Alligator mississippiensis: one gene and its partner. The protein of the gene in region 2 interacts with the protein of the main gene of each other region in a pairwise test. Links are inferred from orthologs where the notes say so. Each region holds a gene or a part of one and is shown on either strand. Other genes may lie near its edges. The genes, in order: YIPF2 and RNF185.

The links.
Region 1: the proteins of RNF185 (region 2) and YIPF2 interact in binary tests that used the Homo sapiens proteins (3 or more experiments, as listed by UniProt). The two-hybrid records come from large-scale screens. The link is inferred for Alligator mississippiensis from reciprocal best matches to the Homo sapiens genes RNF185 and YIPF2.

The regions. Positions count from the first base shown.
Region 1 is NC_081831.1:23,569,970-23,579,876, reverse strand, and holds the start of YIPF2 (protein YIPF2), read right to left. Parts: upstream 3,986-9,907; 5' UTR 3,767-3,985; coding exon of another isoform or gene 3,762-3,766; coding exon 3,731-3,761; intron 2,955-3,730; coding exon 2,812-2,954; intron 2,387-2,811; coding exon 2,306-2,386; intron 1,991-2,305; coding exon 1,903-1,990; intron 1,722-1,902; coding exon 1,605-1,721; intron 1,149-1,604; coding exon 982-1,148; intron 525-981; coding exon 342-524; intron 136-341; coding exon 1-135. Other genes in the region: TIMM29 (mitochondrial import inner membrane translocase subunit Tim29), read left to right, coding at 4,100-4,190, 4,468-5,108.
Region 2 is NC_081833.1:20,566,861-20,576,224, reverse strand, and holds the start of RNF185 (E3 ubiquitin-protein ligase RNF185), read left to right. Parts: upstream 1-4,965; 5' UTR 4,966-5,129; intron 5,130-9,364. UniProt on the Homo sapiens protein: E3 ubiquitin-protein ligase that regulates selective mitochondrial autophagy by mediating 'Lys-63'-linked polyubiquitination of BNIP1.

The DNA of each region.
Region 1 (9,907 bases), on a different chromosome or scaffold from region 2:
TCAGAAACGGAGGGGGGTAGTCATGGAGCTGTTGAGGCGGGGGTGAGAGGCTGTAAGTAGCTGTGCCCCCCCTGGAGCCTTAGTGTAGGCAGAGTGGAGAGGGACAGCATATACTGGCTTCTGGAAGAAGTAGAGCTGCAAGAAGAAATTGAGCGAGAAGTACACATAATGGGGGTGGGGGGACCTGGCTTAGGTCCCTGGTTCCAGATCTGAGGCACGTGCCCCCCCCCCCGGATCTCTAGAGAACAAACACCAGACCCAAACTGAGCAACAGCTGCCATGACCCTGCCCAAGCATAGGTCTCCCCTATTCTGCCCCACAAGATGCTGGGCCTTGGGTACCTTGCAGCCTACAGCCAGTAGCGCGTGGAGGGCGAGGACAATGGTCAGTACAGCCAATGTGGCAGCCCGGCTGTCTAAGCGGATGAGTGGCCAGAAGGTGAGAACTAGCACAGACCCGGAGAGTGTCATAGCGGTGGCGATCAGCAGCCACTGCAGCCAGGAGACTGGAATGAGCCACAGCACCTGCTCAAGACCGGGACAGGGAGGGGGTAAGCATGAGCAAGGATCATGGGCCCCACAGTTCTGAGATGCAGGAGTTGTCCAGGCCAGGATCTGGATGGCACATTCTGGCTCTAGGGAGCCCTGGGGATCTAAGCTGCCTTCATACTTGTGAGTCTACACTGCACCAGGGACCCTGCCTGCAGCTCTGGGCACCCACCACCCAGAAGGTAAACACAGATGGGAGCAGGGCGCCACGTCTGGAGGTAAATAGCAGGGCAGGAGCAAACAGGCTGGAAATTCAGTCTCAGCAAAGACAACTAGCTAAAATGGCTGAGCTGGGCCCAGGGGTTAGAGGACATGGTGCCCATGGCAGAGGGGACAGGGGTGAGTTCCCTACCCCCACCAGCTTCCCAAGAGGGCAGCTCCATGACCAGACTCAGCCTATCCCCTTGGAGGATTTGGGGCCCAGGAAACTCACCGAGGCAGGGATGTACACTGAGAGGGAGTAGCCATAGACGCACACAGTCTCCAGGAGGGTGTAGGAGGCCACATTGAGGCAGACACCCTTGCGCCACTGCAGGTAGCCCCACAGGGCCAGCGGCACCAGCCCCGCATAGCAATAGATGGCAACGCCTGCAATGGTCACTGCCAATGGATGGGCTCCTGTCACCCAGTGCTCTGCGGCCGGCCGGCCAGCCAGCCAGCTGGGGGGGCCTTTTGTGTTGTTCCCCCCCCCCCCCAACAACCACCACCCACGGTACATGCTACAGGCACTAGGACAGCAAAGCAGCCAACAGTGAATCAGCTCAAAGCTGAGACTCAAATGCCAAGAGGTGGGGTCCAGGCCTCCTGGGTTCTCTCCCAGCTGTGGGAAGGGACGGGTCTGGTGGGTTAGAGCAGGGGGAACCGAGGACCTTGACACCTGGGTTCCCCCCACAACTGGGAGAGGAAGGAGGTCTTGTGGTTTGGGGCTGGGAGCCAAGACTCCTAGGTTCTTTTCACTTAAAGCTTTGTGCCTGGCAGGGGTCAAGTTTGCCCAGGAGCCTGGTGGGTTCTCATGGGGCCTGGCCCATGCCTGCCTGTCCCATACCTACCCCTCACCTTTGTGGAACTGGGGGCTGTAGCGGAAGGAGGTGTTGCCATGCTTCTCCAGGAAGTTGGACAGGTTGCCACTGATGGCCAGTGTGAACACCAGCGTAGTGCAGATCCAGAAGGGCCCTGGAAGAGGCCAAGGGTAGTGCGACCTTGAGCCCAGGCTGGGGCAGAAGCCAGAGACCAAAGATGCCCTGCTTTGCTCTGGTTGACGGATGGCACCTGAGCCCTGGGGCACAGGAGGCCAAAAGGGCTCAGCCTGCACTGCCCTGGCCTGCCCCACATCATGGACCCCCTCTGGGCTCACCATACAGGTCAGGGTTGTTCCGTAGATAATGCCGCACAAAGTTCTTCCCTGGTAGTGGAAGCAGCGATCCCTTGATCCTGTCCAGCACCTACAGTGAAGAAAGCAGGAGTGGAGTGAGGCAGGCAGCTTTCTGGGCTCACCAGGCAGCAACCAGAGAGCAAAGCTGCATCCTGGTCCTAGGTGGGGGCTTCCCAATATGATTATAATACATAATGTACAGTCCCTAGTGCAATGGGGCTCTGGCCTGCGACTGAGGCTCTCAGGTGCTACCATACTATACCTAATAATGTACAAAGCCTCTGGGAGCTGAGAAACCCATGAATCTATGGGACTCATTCCTGCCAGCATCTCTAACTGCCTGTGTCAGAATGCTGCCTTCCCACAAGGGCGCAGGCTCCATTACCTGGTAGGTGTCGACATCAAAGAAGGCCTGGTAGTACTCGAAGGTCCAGAAACTTGGTGGCTGCTTCTGGCCGCTCAGCAGCTGCGAGGAAGGGAATGTATGTTACCACGCGGCCCCACCAGCCTTACCCACAGAGAACCCCAAGCACCTCCAACTGTGAGCCCAGCTCCCTCCCAGACCAGTGCACCCCACCCCAGCTGCTCCAAGCAACTGGGATTACCCAGCATGCCAGGCAGGAGCCCCATCTCCAGAGAGAGCCACAACTGAGGTAGAAATACTTGATCTACTTGGACCCCGATGGCTTCCACAGCTAGCAGCAGCTGGGAACAGCCCAGGCACAGCTGCCCAGGCTGGATCTGGACCTAGGGCTGGGAAGTGAAGGGCTCTTTATTCCACTAGTGCACACTCCCTGCCCCAGCCAACCTTGGGCCCGACCTGGAGCCAGCACTCCCCTCCAGACTAGTCCTGCCACCCTCCTGCCCATGCACGCTAGCTTTGCCCCCGACCTCTGTCTTATCGCTCTCATCGCCCTCCTCGTTCTCGTCATAGCTGGAGCCCACATCCAGGGCCACATGGCTCTGCCGCTCACTGACACTGGTGGTTGTTGCATCGGGGGTTGCAGCCAGCAGGTCGGCGGCCTCATCAAATTCTGCAGGGGTAAAGCGCCAGCCATCACAGCCCAGGGCTCAGGGGCCACTGCCTAGTCCAGCCCCTCACTCCTGAGCCTGCACCCTCCCAGTGTCATGCCTTGAAGGAGCTGGGGAGTTCATCACCCTCGTTACGATGATACAGAAGGTACTTCTATCTTGGCCAGAAGGACCCAGGTCCCAGTTTTATGCTCTAACTGCCAGACCACACTGTCTCCATTAGGCAGACCTATTTGTTATGCCCAGAGGAGTGTGGGCCTGGCTCACCCGGGAGCTATAAACCTCCCTCCACTAGGCAAACCTATGAAGACCTAACGAGAGTATTTGGGGCAACGAAAGAAAAAACAAGGAAGGGAGCAGGCTCAAGGGCCGCTAGCAAGTGCTCGGGGGGGGGGGGGGAAGGGGGGGGTGCTGAACAGCACACCAGCCAGCGCCGTGCCCCTTCCCAGGAAAACTGCTGGGATACGCGCGTGGATGAGGGACTGGCAGATGCCCCGCAGACGCCAGGCTCCCTCAGCCAGAGCCTCTCGGCCAGAGGCAGGGGGAGGTTTGCCGGGGGGTACCCGCGGTCCCAGGAGGCAGGAAGCCAAGGGCAGCGGGTCCGTCCCTGCTTCGTGCCAACCGCCCAGTAAGTGCCCGAGGGCGGCGCGGGGCCCGGCCGGGCTCTGGGGGCGCCAGAGCCCCAAGGCCTCGCGGGAGGAGGGAAAACACCTGCTGCAGCCGGGTCCGGTCCCCTCGCGGCCCGGCGGGACCTCCCCGAGGGCGGCCGCCTGCTCACCGTGGAAGCGGAGCTGGTCGGAGGCCGCCATAGCATCAGCGCACCCCGGGCTCCTGGGGGAGACGAAGGCTTGTTACGGCCGGGGGGGGGAGTGGGGGAAACTGAGGCGCGAGCTCCTGAGACACCCCGAGGCGGGGCCCTGCTGTGCAAGGGGAGCACGACAGGGAGGAGTGACGTGTCCTGGCAAAGCCGGGCACCCCCCGCTCCAGTGCTGCGTGTCCCTTTCTCCGGCCTGGCCGCGCGCACTCCCGGGGGGGGGGGGGGGGGAAAGGAAAGGGGAACCGCCCCCCCCCCCCCCGAGCTCCGGGATGGTTTCGTCCGGTCCGGCACCACTTCCCCTCCGGCCGGAAACAGTTTCCGGTTGGCGCCATGGCGGTGGTAGCAGACACCACGAGCGGCGCGGGACTCGATCGGGGGGGCAGGCGCGGCTTCTGGGGGCGGCTCGGCGCTAGCCGCCTGGGTAGGTTGGAGGGGGAGGGCTCCTGGGTTCCTGGGGCTAGGGCCTGGCAGCTCGGACGCCTGGGTTCTTCCGGGGGGGAGGCAGCGGCCCGGGTTCCCACGGGAGGAGGGGCTGGCGCAGGGCCTGGCAGCCCGGACTTCTCGGTTCTAATCCCGGCCCCGCGCGTAGCTGCAGGTCCCTCCCAGAGCGTCGGCTTCCCCAGCGCGGGCACCCGCCGCCCCTTGGTGGGCTGGGCCCTTGATAGCCAGCAGCATCTGACCTTGCTGCCCCTGTGCAGGCCAGTGGTGGAAGAGCCTCCTGCACGATTATGTGGAAGCCTGTAAGGAGGTGGTTGTGGGTGCCCGGCAACGGCCCGGGAAAGCCGGGCTTTACCTCTCGGTGCTGGCCGGGGCAGCCGCCTGCAGCCTCCGCATCCCCAGCGACACCTCCTTCGATGCCTCCCTCCTCGAGGCCTCTGGCACCCTGCTCCTCCTCTCCCCCTGGGTCTGCAACACCACCTCCAAGGGCCACGTTCAGCGCCTGATGCAGCTGAGGAACTGGGGGCAGCTGCGCTACCAGAGCCTGGTCTTCTTTTCCCTGGTGTATGAGGCCCCTTTCGACGCAGAGACCGACCTGTACTTGGCTCAGTGCAAGCACCTGCAGCCGCGCTGGACAGAGTTTCCAGGCCGCATCCTGGATGTGGGGTTCTGGGGGCGCTGGTGGGTTTTAAATGCCAAAATGAAGGACTCTGACATCAATGATGAGGAGTTCCAGAACCTTCCAGAGCAGCTCCGCATCATCTCCTTCCAGAACCTCCACTCGGAGACTAATGAGAGACTGTTCGGCGAGAAATACAAGCCTGTTGTCCTGACAGAGGAACAAATCGAGCAGGCAGAGAGGGAGATGCAGCCACTGCCTCAGGGGGTCACAAACCAGTAACCTGAACCAAGCAGCGGTTGCTTGAGCCAGGGTGGATATGGAAGCTCAGATAGGTTTTACTATGGGATTGTTTCTTGTTGGACCCCTCAGCCTTGTTGCATGCTGATTTCCCAGCCTTGGTGGCACTGGCATTCAATAAAGAGGATGCGGAGGCTCTTACGTTTGCTGTGATTTTTGTACTAACCTATGGGATGCGTTATCCATGGGCTTGCCTTGCCTCTTGTGGGTACCATGCCAACCCAGTGCTTAGAGCAGTGATTCTTGATTGGGACCCTGCACCACTCTGGGGCATCTTAAGATCCTTTCAGAGGTGCTACACAATGTTAGTGCTGTTAGACATGCAAACAGGATTGACAAGATAAGCAGAAAGGTTTCAAGTATTAATCCAGAGTGGCAAAATGTTCTGACCTGTTCAGATCTTTCTGTGTTTTCTGCAACAGAAAAACTGCTCCGTGATTTTTGTGTAAGAAAAATCAAGTGGAAGCTAAGAGCTGACCTCTTCCAAGGTTCTATCAAGGTGTGCCTTGAATTGAAGAAGGTTGAGAACCACTGGCTTAGAGGTGTTCCAGGGTAATGTCGCTCCATAGGGCTTCTGTCTCTTCTAGATGAGTTCAGATCCAGTGCTCAGAGGGGAGACTGGTAACAGGGACCCATGTGCTCTTGAAAATGGTACAGGTGGCATGTACAGGCACGCTCCTTTCTGAGCTGCTGCTGCTGCCCCCAGTGCCCAGCCCAGTTTTGGGGGGCAGGGCAGGTGAGTCATAAAGGGAAGCCTTTGCTTTTGGGTGGATAATCCGCTAGGGCCCACGTGACTTTTGCAGCTCTGTGATAGTTGGAATGAGGTGAAACCAAAGCCCCTGGTCACTGGGGAGTATTTGAGGCTCCAGGGCATCTGGGGCAACATCAGCCAAAACGTCTGTTTGGGGTGGAGGTGGCCCAAGCAGCATCACTTCCAAGGGGGCTGGTCTTGTTTGCCTTCTATCCTCTGCATAGAGCCTCAGCTGTATTGTAGCCCCCAACCCAAGTCTGAGCCTTCTGTCAGCTCCTCAGGGAACAGCAGAGGGTGCTAAAGAGCTAAGGAAAACTCCTTGGTACTGCTGCTCTCAGACAAAGGTGCAGAGATTCCCACTGCAGTTCTCCCTGAACCTGGAGGCAGCCCAGGGGCATGGACCTGCTATGACTTGGCGGGCAGTGCACAGTTCACAGGCATTTAGAGAAGCCCCTTATGGAGCTGCTAAGACTGAAAAAGGTGTCTCTTGCTAGCCCAGAGTACAACAGAAGTGGGTCGGGAAAGAAACAGGCACTTACCTCTTTTGGTGAAGGGGTGGCAGAGAAAGCAAAAGATAAACTGAGTTCCCCAAGACAGGATGGCTGTTCTGCACCTGAGCTGGAACAAGAAGGCAACATTCAGGAGCTGGTTGGGCTCTTAAAATATCCTGTTCTAATGATTTATTAACCTATTGAATAATTGATTGAGCAACTGCAGGAGCTGGGGTCTTAGAGGCATCTGCTGCCTAGGGATTTCTGTTTGATTCTCTTTGATTGTGATGGCTCAGCCTACGCTCCAGCTCTTTTAAAGATGAATGAGAGACACTGACAGTGGGGGGAGGGGTTGAGCCCATGCACACAGCTTGGTGTTCTGGGCTCTGTGAAGTGCCCTCTTCAGCCAACATAACAATGCAGTGGGGGTAGAAATGGCCCCTTGAGAACTCTGCTGTGCTGGGGCTTCCCCAGCTGGTACAAGAGCCCCATACCCAAGCCCAGAGGTAGGGGGTAAACCATAGGTGTGGTCTGTTGTCACTGTTCTCTGTTCCCCAGGAAGTAGAGTGAGAGTGAGCAGCTTTTGGACTGCCCTTGAGTTTGGGTGGGAGGGGGGGGCAAAGAGAGAGCTTCATGCTGCCTTCCTCCACCCACTTCTTGCTTCCCCAGCCAGGGGGCAGGGAGTCAAGACCTGGATCTACAATGCATGCAGCATGTGTGTGAGAGAGAGGATTAGGGCTCATCTGCCCAGAAAAGTTATTCCAATTCAAGTGGGCCATGAATTTAAAGCAGAAGAGCTTGTCTAGAAAAGACACAAATGGAATAGTAAAAGCAGAAGTGTTGCATGCATGACATACCTAGAGATAAATGCAGTGTGTGCATAGTGACAAAGCACAAGGTAAATATTACCCAGGAACTTTCCTTTCTGTCCTCTCAATCTCTGCATGGCATTCCAGCACTGGGACATCTTGACTTGCTGCTGCTGCTGCCGCCAGTTCACTAGTAAATCCATCTGCAGCTCTGGCTTGTGTAAAAAAGTGGGGGGAACAAACATTAGCACTGCAGTCCTGGTTTGCGCACACACTCAGTCCTTTCAGTACCAAAGTGCTTTCAAAAGGCCAAAATACTGCCTAGCCCTCAGCTTGGAGGTAACTGCCCATAAACAGAGAAGGGAAATTGGTGCTTTAGTAGCCAAGGGTTCCCATCTTGGTTTTTTTGCTGTTCTCATTTGGTTATGGCTCCTGGCTGCTTAATTTCATGCTGTTTGACTGGTTTCTCAAGCAGGCCTTTCACTTACTAGCTTCCCTTTCTACTTTGGGGAGCTTGGTTCCTTTATTAAAAACCTGGTTCTCTTTAGCAAAGTTGGACCTTACACAGCTTGTAATAGGCCTTGTTCTAGTCTCCCCAGTTTTCTGTCCTCTGGAGAAATGGAGGACCCAGGTGAGCAAAAGCAAGATAAATGACAAGTGTGTATAGTAGTCACATCAGGCTGTGGCCAGGGAAAAGATTGATTTGTGCACCCTCAGCCTTTTTTTTTTTTTTTTTTATTTAAAGGAGTCTGTCAGGTGCTCTGGAAATAGAGGTTCCCAGATAGAACAACAAAAAACAAAGCAAGGAGGGTGTTAAAATACTTCTAGTGTCTAAAGCCCCCAACATGTAAGGGAGGGAAGCATTTATTCATGAGTAGCTCTGAGGTCACACTTCAGGAGGGGGCTTCTAGGTATCACTGGCTTTGCAGATGCAGGTCCTGGTGTTAGTTGTGACCCAAATAACTTGCTGCGTAGCAGTACTATGTGACATGGGGACAAATCTGGCATGGTAGAGCACTCCATTATAAGCATTTCTAGTCTCATCCCCAGACTGGATAAACTCCATGCTCCTATTGGAGCCAAATTTGCATCCAATTCAGAATTGAGTCAGAGGCTTGAGCTCAGCCACAGTAATTTTGATCATGTCTTTCCATTGCGTGTTTTAGTAAGAGTTATAGGCCCATCTGTTTAAAAGTAAATTGATTTGTTAGGAATACGTTCACAGGTTTTTAAAATAGTTTTATGCAAGGCATGCAAATATGAAATGTCTCCTCAAACAGTTCTTGAATAATTAATTCAGGTTACATGATCAGATAGTGAATCCTACGCATACACCTATAACAGAGTTAGCAAAGAAACTCCTCTAAGCTTTGAAATCCCTTCCTTAAAGGGGTGATTCCTGCTAACAAAATCACATCCTCTGTGGATCCTTCCTTCCACTGTATCGACAGAGAAATGATCTGGAAAATTAAAACATTTTCAGCACAAAATAATGTGTGTGCGCTCTCTAAAATGTAAGGGGGGGGAGGGGGATTGTTAGAGTCCTTGGATTTAATCCTGATATTCTGAAAGGATGTGGGAGGTAATGGTTGAAGCAGCATTTCTCATTGCTTTTGGGTTAGCAGCCCCTTGCTTAAAGTAAAAAAAAATGTTCATGATCTCTCTGCATCTACTGAAAAAACATTAAAAACATATAGGCTTTGTGATAATGTGTGAGGGGGTGCATGTGTGCGTGGAGGTGGATATGGAACCTTTTGACCTTGGAAGGTGAGGGGGCAAGATTTTCTTTGCTTTGGAACATGATAAAATAGTCAGCCTTTCCTAAACATCTCAGGATAGTCTGTAAGGACCCACCTGCCCCAGGGGTCACTGTTGGCCTGGGAGAAACACCAGCATAGAGTGACAATATGAAACTCAGGACTGAGGAGCAGGATGGTTCACCTCCCATGTAAAGCTTTGTTAACTAGAAGCTTTTCTAAAGCATTACTTAATTATCAAGGACTGAGTAGAGGTGGAGAGGGTTTCCAGGCTGGGGATATAACCAGAATGGAAAGGTCTGGAGGTTTTTGGTTTGTTGTTTTTTGTTTGTTTTTTTTAATGAAAGGTCTTAATTTTCTCTTTATCTCCTTTCCCAAGCCTTCTAATAATTTTTTTCCCCTTCTGGCACGACTGTGACAAAGCAAAGAAAGGCCAGTGAGAGATGGACTTCAAAAGCCCCTGCTAAGAGGGAGCTTTTGACAAAGATGAAACTGCTTAGCGATGGAATCATTAAAGAGAGCAACTGTTGGAAACAAGCACAGCAGGGACTCAAGGGCACATGCTGCCTTCCAGGTGTGAGGTAGGATTTCCTGATCCCATTACTATGGGGAAAGCAGGAAGGCCTTTACTGCCACTGGCAGAGTTGCTGCTATGGGTTATGAGACTGAGATTTAGAAGGATCCACGTAGAAGGTCAGAAGCTGGAGGAGCATGAGCTGTCTGGTAAAATAGGATGAGTGGCAGGCTAGCAATTAGGACTCCTGGGTTCTGTGGCCCTGACTTTTTGGTGAGTCTTGCTGGCTGTGCTTCCTCATCCTCCCAACTCTGCCTGGATCCATCAGTCCCCTCTGGTTGTATGCTGTGCATGCTGTATTTGGGAGGGTGACTGCAGCCCAGGTAGATGCACCTCAGGTAGCATTAATCTGGCTTGGGTACTAATGGCTGCAAAGCTGTGACAGCCCTGGCTTCATCA
Region 2 (9,364 bases):
CTGCCTGGGTCTTTCAAAACTGAAGAGACAGACATATGCGATATGATAGAGATGCTAGAAAATGTGCACTAGCCAACAGTCCTGCCATTGGCAGGGAGATGTCAACTGGAGATTTGTGTTGTTCTCTTCCATTTCTGACAGATGGTTTGGGGTTTTGCTTTGCACAATGTTGTGTGCTTGGGCACATAAAATTCCTGGAGGACTCTGTCAAGATGTGGAAAATGCAACAGGTAGACAGTCATTAATCCATGTATGAAGAAATACATTAGGTATATTTTTTCCATGCAAAGAAAGTCTACATTGTCACCACCTGTGCTTCTTGTAACTAGCATGCACATAGACATGGGATTTTGCGTTCCAGGGACTCCAAACATGCTAACATTTAAGAGCAAAATTAAAAAGAACCAAATTATTTGAAGACAGAAAACAGTGGAGAACTGCTTTCCCAGCCTCTTTTAGTCAATACGTTTAATTGTATTTGGACCTTTCCTAATGACTCACAGTATGCTATGCAGCTATTTCTTTTACCTGGTAGTTTTACACTTTCTTAATGGAAATCTTTATGTTCCTAATAATACATATGAATCAAGATAGAAGTTTTAGTCCATTGTTATGTCTGCCAGTGAGGAGTACCAGATACTTCAGAGCATAGTGTAAAAAACTTTAATCTGACATTTATATGTAGGTTTCCCACGCTTTATGCTGTACATGTGTTCCTGGAAAATGGTGTATAACTTGAATTTGCATAAAGGGAACACACTTTACAATGTAGCAAATAGGGATATGTTCCAAGACCTTGACTGTACTGACTCCCAGACCCATTTCTACCACTTTTACAAGACAATTTTGGTACTTTCCCACAGAAGACAGTACACACAACAAGCACAGGGCATTATTATAATAAGGATGGCAACTACAGAAACATATGTTGCAGATAACAAGCAAGGAACACAGCTCCACACAGGAGACTATATTTTGGTGCTCGTCACTCCCACAATGCACTGCAGAAAACAGCTGACTGTGGGTTTCCACCATGCAGATGCATAACAGTGAATTTACATTGCATATAACAAATGTTTGGTATAAAAAGGGTCATCACATAAGAGCAAATTTGCATACAGAACCTGCATAAAGTGAGAGAAACCTGTAATGTGTGCTTATATAGGACAAATTGTTCAGGATGTTTGTTGTAAGCTTGTCATTATGGCAGTGCTTGGAAATATAATTAAAAAGGCAGATAAGAACTGCCATCCTAGAAAAAATGTTTGAAAGCAAGCATGTCACCTGCAGGAAACAGGTAAGATCCTTCAGGCCAAGAGAGATTCATGAAGTGAGTAACAGTTCCTGGAGAAGGCTTTCCATGTCCACCTAGAAAGAAAGGTTCAAGGAAAGACTGGAAATAGATGAGCTAGCATGGCTGTTGAAAAGATGTAGGGTAAAAAGGGTGATATTGTCAATTGTGTTTACATGAGGCCATGAATATACTACTGTGCTAAAAATACTAATAGTATGGGAGAATACTGGGAAGAATGACAGTGGAAAAGCACTGATGCTAGACCCTGAAAGAGCCCTGACAAGGTGAAGGATTATTTACCTTGAATTGTTTGGCAGTCTATTGAGTATCACACCCTGAGGAAGGAAATCAAGGCATAGCAATACACATGAGGGCTGATTTAGTAGATGTGGCACATACTTTCCTATAATCTTAGGCTGTCAAATGCCCTGGAACATGGGGTTGTACCCCTTATATATGTTTACCCTATCCAGTGTTCATCTGAAAGCTTTTACAAACGTATGACATGGTAATCCTTTGAATCCAACTTGTATTCAATGAGGAAAATACTGCCTTTCAACATTTTTTAACTTGTTGCTATTCCATTTAATTGCTCCTTGCAAATGTTATTATGGGAATAGATGGGAAAGCCTCATTTATCCTCTCCAGATTCTTCAGGGTTCAAAATTACTGTCTCCTTTTACTAACCTTGTCTCTAAACTTGCTTAATTTTTTCAGCCTCTTTTTTGTAAGGAAAGAATGCTTATCATACTGCTGTCCAACTCTGAATCTCTTCTAGTTTAAGAAATAAATGTTGGCTAGTAATCTAGTGAGTAAATGCTATGGATGTATATAGTGAGAGTGTATTTTAAATATTTATGTGAGGCAGAAATAGAATCATTCTTTAGATAGCCTAACATTATAACTTGCAACTATCATTTGCATTGACAAGATTCCCTCAGTAAGCTGTCTAAAGTTGCTTTTAAGTGAGTTGTATAGTTACCACAAAATGTCAAAGCAACAGAGAACATTTTGAGCACATTACTTACTTTCATGCTCATAATACTACAGAAAATCTGTTTATTTTGTAACAATATTCAATAAGAAATTTCTGCAGCAGTAACTAGCTGCACTGATTGCCACCTGGCTCATTCCAGCTCTAATAGGGTGATCTCATAATCCCACAAATACCTTCAGGGCCTGTGTAACATCTCACTAATTTGATATAACATCCAAGTACTGAAATGTTGTTGAAACACTGATGTCCCAAGCCAATCTCATGCTTCTCAGAATATTACAACTGTAATACAGGAGTTTCCTGTTAGGCCAGACCTCTCTTGGCCTTCTATCTGGTACCATGTAAACCAGTACAGCCTGTTCTATGGTCGGGTTGTTGTCAACTAAACGAGCACTCCCACCTGTGCTAGCCTGGGTGAGGAGGGTGTGTGGACACCCAGCAGGACTGAAAACAAGACCTGTCAAAGGTGGATGAGCTTCCTGCAAGCCAACAACTATCTGTACCTGGAGAGGAGATGGGTGCCAGCAGGTCACTTTGCCCAATGAATAATCAATGATGCAAATCAACTCAATTAATCTCATACCAGATTGGTCGAGGCCTGGGTCTACGACTGCATCCAGACAGAGTGCAGTAAAGGAGGGTTGTTACAGCATCTAAGGTGCTCCAACAATCGCAGCAGCCTTGGGACGGACTCGACTTGAATACAGGAGTTTGGCCTGTCTGACAAGATTCTTTGGGTAAATCCAGTATCTCTTATTAGACCAACTCTTATGGGCTCAGATCAAGCATAGACCTATGCTTGCCTGGCAAGAGAAACACCATGACTATGGAGGCAGTCCTTCCTAGTCACACTAGGGAAAACTGCTCTCCTGGCACAGGGATAGTACTTGCCAAGGTAATGTATAATAAACCTCCCACTTAGCTGCTGGAGTGGGAAGGTCTTGGCTTTAAGCCCACTTTATGGAAATTTAAGTGTCCTCCCTGGCTTGCCCCTGAGGTCCTATGGCTGAGGGCAAGCAAAACTTGGGGGCATCTGAACCCCAAGCCTCTGGGCTTGGGCTTGCAAGTAGGATGCCCGCCAAAGGTTTTGGAAACATCTGAAGCCCCAGGTGTGGGTGGAAGATGTTTGCTGGTAGTAGGGACACTTATGGTTCTGGACCAACTCTTGAATTTGGAATTTGTTTTGGCTAATTTGGCTTGGAATATGGAAAATTAACACCCCCCCCTCCCCCAAATAGTTTGAAAAATTCTTCTTACCAAGCTTTTGGGCACAAACACCCTTTGTCAGACTGAGGAAGCATCTGCAGATGGTCTGTGTTCTTCCTGGATGGCATGGTAAAGCAGCCAGAGACCAGTACTTTTATGCAAGAAAGCTAGTCAGTTAAATGTAAATTTAAGTGGTCAGTAGGTGAGAGACAGGTGGGAGGGGAAGGGGGAATGAATATAGCTGTAGTGAAAGGATGGGAGACAGGAGGGTAGGGGGGAAGGGAATGAGAGTAGCTGGTAAAGTAGAGGGTTTACGTGGGGAGTCAGATGTTAGATTTGACTGTCTGACAAATTCTCCAACAGAGCAAATATAACCAAGGTAACTAGCTGAGCTTTATGATGTAGGGCAGGATTAAAACTTTTGTAATAGCATAGCTCTCCATTCTAGATATTGTTCACATCTCCACCTCAGTTGTTAGTGTGATACATTCATATCCCAATCTAGGTTTTTTTGGTGATACTGTCACTGTGGACTTAGAAACTTTTACTGAGGGCAATTCTAAGGCTTTTAGCATGGCTTCCTTCCCTGGCACAACTAAATGTCACAGCTCTTATCAAGAGATTCACCAAGTTAACAGGTTCACAGAAGGTTAGGACTAGAAGGGGCATTGGGTCCAGCCCTCCTACTCTGGGCAGGAAAGACTGCTGGGGGCAATGTGGCAAGCAGCAGAGGGAGCTGAGGGTGACCACTGGGCAATAACTGGCCATGCTGACCTCCCTGCTTCTGGGCTGGGGGCTACGCAGTCTGCTCTGCTGTGTTTGAATCCATACACTGGGCCTGTGTGGTTTTAAGCTCTCCCTTTAGTCCCTGGGTCAGTCTCAGGCAGTGCCTCTGGCTCAGGCCTCCTTCTGGCACGTGCTCTAGACATGCATAAGAACACTGACATGGATTGCCATTTACCGGGTCAGACCACAGGGCCATCCAGCCCAGTAGCCTTTGTCACCTGGCAGCACAGATGCTGAAAGGGAGAGAGGACTGGGTATAACCAGGGGTTTTCCCACTGTTTCTCTCTCACTTGCAGCTTCCATGGTTGATGGAGGAGGGAAGCTCTCATTCAGAGGCCCCCATCCTGCCCTTCCACAGACTGGGTCTGGTGCCTCTCTGAGGAGCCCTGGCCCGGCCGCCGGGGCAGCACTGGCCGCCCCTCAGCCAGGTGACGGTCACCCCAAGGCCCTTGTCCCCAGCGCTCTGCTTTTGTGCACATCCCTTCGGGGCTGGGGATGCCCCGGGGCAGCAGGGAGGTGCCGCAGGTGCCGCCGGCTGCTGCTCCCTCCCCAGGCGCTGCAGGCTCGGGCCTTTCCCTCGGCCCCGGCGCCTGCTCCCCGTCTCCCGCCTTCTCCTCTGTGGAAAGGGACGGAATGGAGCCGGGCGCTGCCCGTCCGTAGGTGGCGGCTCCTCCGTAGCCCCATGAGGGGGAGACTTCCGCCCGGCCCCGGCTCCCGCGGAACCCCAGCGCTGCAGCCCGGCGCGGCGGCGGAGCGGCCGGTCCCTTCCCGGCGGGGCGGGCTTCCGGGGAGTCAGGTGACGGCCGCCGGGGCCGAGCGCGAGCGGGAGCGGCCCGAGCCCCACAGGTGAGCGCGGCGGGGAGTCCTGTCCTGTCCTGTCCTCTCCTATTCTGTGGGGTCCGCCAAGGGCTCGGGGCGGCGCCGGCGAGAGGCTGGATCCAGCGCGGGCGCCGAGGGCTCGGCCTCGGGTGCTGGGCTCGGCGGGGAGCGCCCCGCGGGCTGGGACGTGGCGCTCCGCCCTGGCCGCTCGCGGGGCAGCTCTGATGGGGGCAGCGGGGCCGGGGGTCCCCGGGAGCGACTGCATCGGCAGCGAATTGAGCCCCGGGAGCAAAACATCCCGTAGGCAACTGAATGGGGTTTGCTGTAGCGCGTGTTTAGCTCCGATGTGGGATTGTGGGGCGTAAGAGCCGGGCGTAGCTGGGGGCCTCCTCGCGGCCCAGCCGGGCGGGGCTGACAGGAAGGGCCCCCGGGCGCTGTCTTGTCCCTTGTCGGTTCCTGCCTCTGAGCCGGGGCATCGGGCACCGTCGGGTGTGCTCGGCTCATCCGGGTCTCATGTTTTGAACCTGTGATCTTCCTCCTTCCCTGTGTTCTTTTGTGTTTTCTCCCAAGAAATGAATTGTTACTTTCTCAGGGGCTTCCCTTTTTAAGGGAGGTGTATGGTTTTTCTTGGTGGGCAATGGCCCACAGTCCCTTGAAAGCAGCAAATAGGCCTGTAGGCCTGTCCCTTGTCGGTTGGTGCCTCTGGGCAGAGTTTCACTGGGAAGTGCCCACTGGCTTCTTGGACTCATTTGAGGGTTGTTGGGCACTGGCCGTTTGCCCTGCTCACTGTCCCACCTTGGCGCGCTTGTATTGAGCAATGATCTCACTCCTATCCCGTTTTCTCTTTAGCTATACCCCCAAACAACTTGACCTATACCCAGTAGACTTCCCTAATAACAGGGAGGGGCTAACCACTGCTCCATGGGTGTTCAGCCCACATTAGCCCTGTGTGTCAGATGGGGCTGGCATAGCCAGGTTATCTTCTGGGATTGTTCAGCATTTCCTGATCTGCACAAAATAAACTAAATACTTCTTTATTGTGTTTAGAAGTGTCAAGCAAAATCTCCTTGGTCAGCCTATAGAGATCTTTATCCATTGTCCACATCAACTCCTTAAAGAATGTTTGCTTTTAGTAAGTTAATTCCTTCATGCTCTACTGCCAGGAAAAATATCCGGGTTGTGTTATCAAACTGGTTAAAGCAGTTTTGCTTTATTCCTTGGATGTGCCCAGGTAAAAACAAAAAACAAAGCAAGCAAGCAAGGGTGCTTTTGGATAAGTGTTGTTCCAAGTTCTGTCTGAATTTATTCTCTTTTGGATGGAAGACAAAGAGGATAAAATGTGATTTAGTTATTTCCATCTCTTCAGTTTATTTTCTGATGGGTTGTAGTTCATATGGTTTCACTGTACATTGTATACTGACAATAACATTGCATTTGTGAAGCACCTTTAATTTCAGTGGATCCCAAAGCACCCTTTAAATGTAGGCCTCCAACTTCTGTCAGGTTCTTGAGCACAGGTCTATGAAGAAATTAAATAAGGTTGTGTATTGGTTCATGGATCCAGGCTGGGATAGTACTTTACACTAAAATGCAAACTATCTGTAAGAACCACCGATTGAATAACTGAAATGTGTATAGGACAGAGCAACATACAAACACAGGAATCTGGAATGTCTGTCTAAAGAGCAAGTTAAAGCATAACCTGTTTGTTTCTCTTCATCCATCCCCTGTCCCTTAACAAGTAGATAAATATGTGTTTAATAATTAACAAGTTGGATTGCCTCAGTTATGTACATGTCATGAATATCATAAAATGAACATCAAGGAATAAACTCAGTGCCCTAGCAAGGCGGGGAGAGTGGGGTGACCGCCCTGGGCACCAAAATGAAGGGGCGCCAAGAGGCACTGCCCAGCCGGGTCAGTGTGCAGGACAGAACTGCAAGCAGCTCGTATGGGGAGGCACAGGGATGGGGGGGAGGGCAGCTCCTGCCACTGCATGCACTCCCAAGTAAGCATAGAGGGGAGGGTGTGCCCCCCCCAGATCTGTGTCTGGGGCAAGAGTGGACTGCCGCTACGGGCTTTGCCCCAGGCACCAAACCTTGTTGCTACAGCACTGAATATACTTATAGTTTTTTGTGGGGCAAAAAAGTGATTTCTGACCACATGTTTATCACACTTAAAGTTCAGGGAACTCAGTTTATTTTTCATATTGGTGTTTTGTTGTTTGTGTGGGCTACATGTTACAAACAGTCTGAAAAGAAAGGTTTCCTGATGCTTTTACTGTTAATGACAGTTTTTTTAAATTTTAATTGCTGTGTTAGTACATGAGAAAGTGATCGAACTCACTTTCATTGCTCAAGTTGAGGGGGGTTCAGAAACTAAATACAATAGAATTCGTAATGAAAAGCAAACTTGATTTAAAAATTCCTTCAGTTTATTATAATCTCAGATATAACAAAGTGCAACTCATTAGAAGTTTTGTATTCATTTTGCTAAACAGAATTGTTAACTTGACAGGATCCCTTTTGATTTCATATTTCATGTACATAGCAACAAGAAGTATAAAATAGGGCTATCATCACAGTTAATGTGTGCGATTAATGCGTTAATCAGTTCCTGCATTAATTTTTTTATATTGCGCATATGGTTTTGGAGCCTGCTTCTGGGCTCCAATCCACCAACTCCAGGTTGCCTAGCGGGACAGTGGTGGCAGCACAAAAGACCGCAGGGCAGCCCAAGTGGCTGCAGTGCATGGGGTGTGGGGGGAGGTGCAAGGACAGATGCATACCAGCAGCTGCGGCCTGCACGCTGTGTGTACAGCAGTGCTGCACCATAATTCTGTAGCGGGGGAGAGGTAGGGGGAAAAGGAAGGGGCATGGCAGATGAAGTACCCCATGGTGAGGGAGGAAGTGGGGTAGGGGCTGGGGTGAATAGGGCCCTGTTGCCGGGGTGGGTTGTGGGCCAGAGCCACGAGAGGCTTATCCAGGGGTGCACGGGGGCTTGGCTCCCTGCCGCTGCATGCAACCGTGGGAGAGGGATAGGGGTCATGTGCAGAGGTAGGCTGCCCGCTGTGGGCTGGGACTCTGCACTCTGCTGCTTTTGCCCAGGGAGCCACATGCTGGCCACATGTTCCCTACCCTCCCAGCTGTCGGACGCACATCGTGGCATACTGCAGCTCCTGGGGCAAAGGCAGAAAGGCATAGAGCCCCAACCTGCAGCGGCAGCCTGCCTCTGTCCCGCACACAAATTGTGGGGGGGGTGGCCCCCATGCCTCCCCTGGGGGTACACACAGTGGCAGGGAACCATGCCCCCGGGCACCCCTGGACAAGCCTCCTGTGACTGTCCCGTGACCTGCCCTGGCCCCATGGCCCCATTAACCCCAGCTCTGCCCCATGCACAAATCAGGGGGCATGTGCCCACTATTCCTCCTCCACAGTTGCGTGCAGTGGCAGGGAGCCCCTCACTGTAGGAACCTTGATCGCCCCTCCACAGACATAGCCTCCAGGCGCTGTGCATGTGTCTGTGACTGTACTTCTCATTCCCAAACCGTAGCCCTCCCAGCCCTGCTGCTGCCCCTCACTCCTGCCCCACAGCACCCTGCATCCTCCCAAGGCATGCAGGGATCCCCCCTCCTCAGGCTCCAAACTCCACACACACACCCACAGCCCTCCACACGCACCCCCAACCATACAAAGTCCTGCATAATTTTGAGTTCTTTTGCATATAATTTTATTTTTTAGCTGTGCGATTAAAATCACAACTAATTGCGACTAGTTTTTTTTTTTTAATCGTGCAACTAATCTTAATCAAATTTTTTAAATGTTTGACAGCCCTAGTATAAAATATGTAGTGTTGGCATCTAGTCAGTGACATAGATCCCAGTTGGAAAGCATTTATTTTGAATGCTTTTGAAAAAAGTAACATTCTGATACTGCTATAACTATATATCCTGGAAATATCATTTATAATTTAAGTGGTATTATCCTCTCTATCTCACATGCTGAATTATTTTTCATCTGCTGTCTTTCCATCAAAGTTTTTGCATGCTCTAAATTAGAAATACTGTTCTTTTCTGCAGTTCCTCCTCATTTTTTCAGAGGCATATATATATATATATATATATATATATATATATATGTACCTTGGGCAAACTTTTATAAGTTTTGATTCCTATTAAGTTCAGATGCTTGGCTGCTTTTAATGACAGTTTCATTATGCCAGCATCTCTTTGGTGCAATATTTGTTGCCCTGCATCTTTAGAA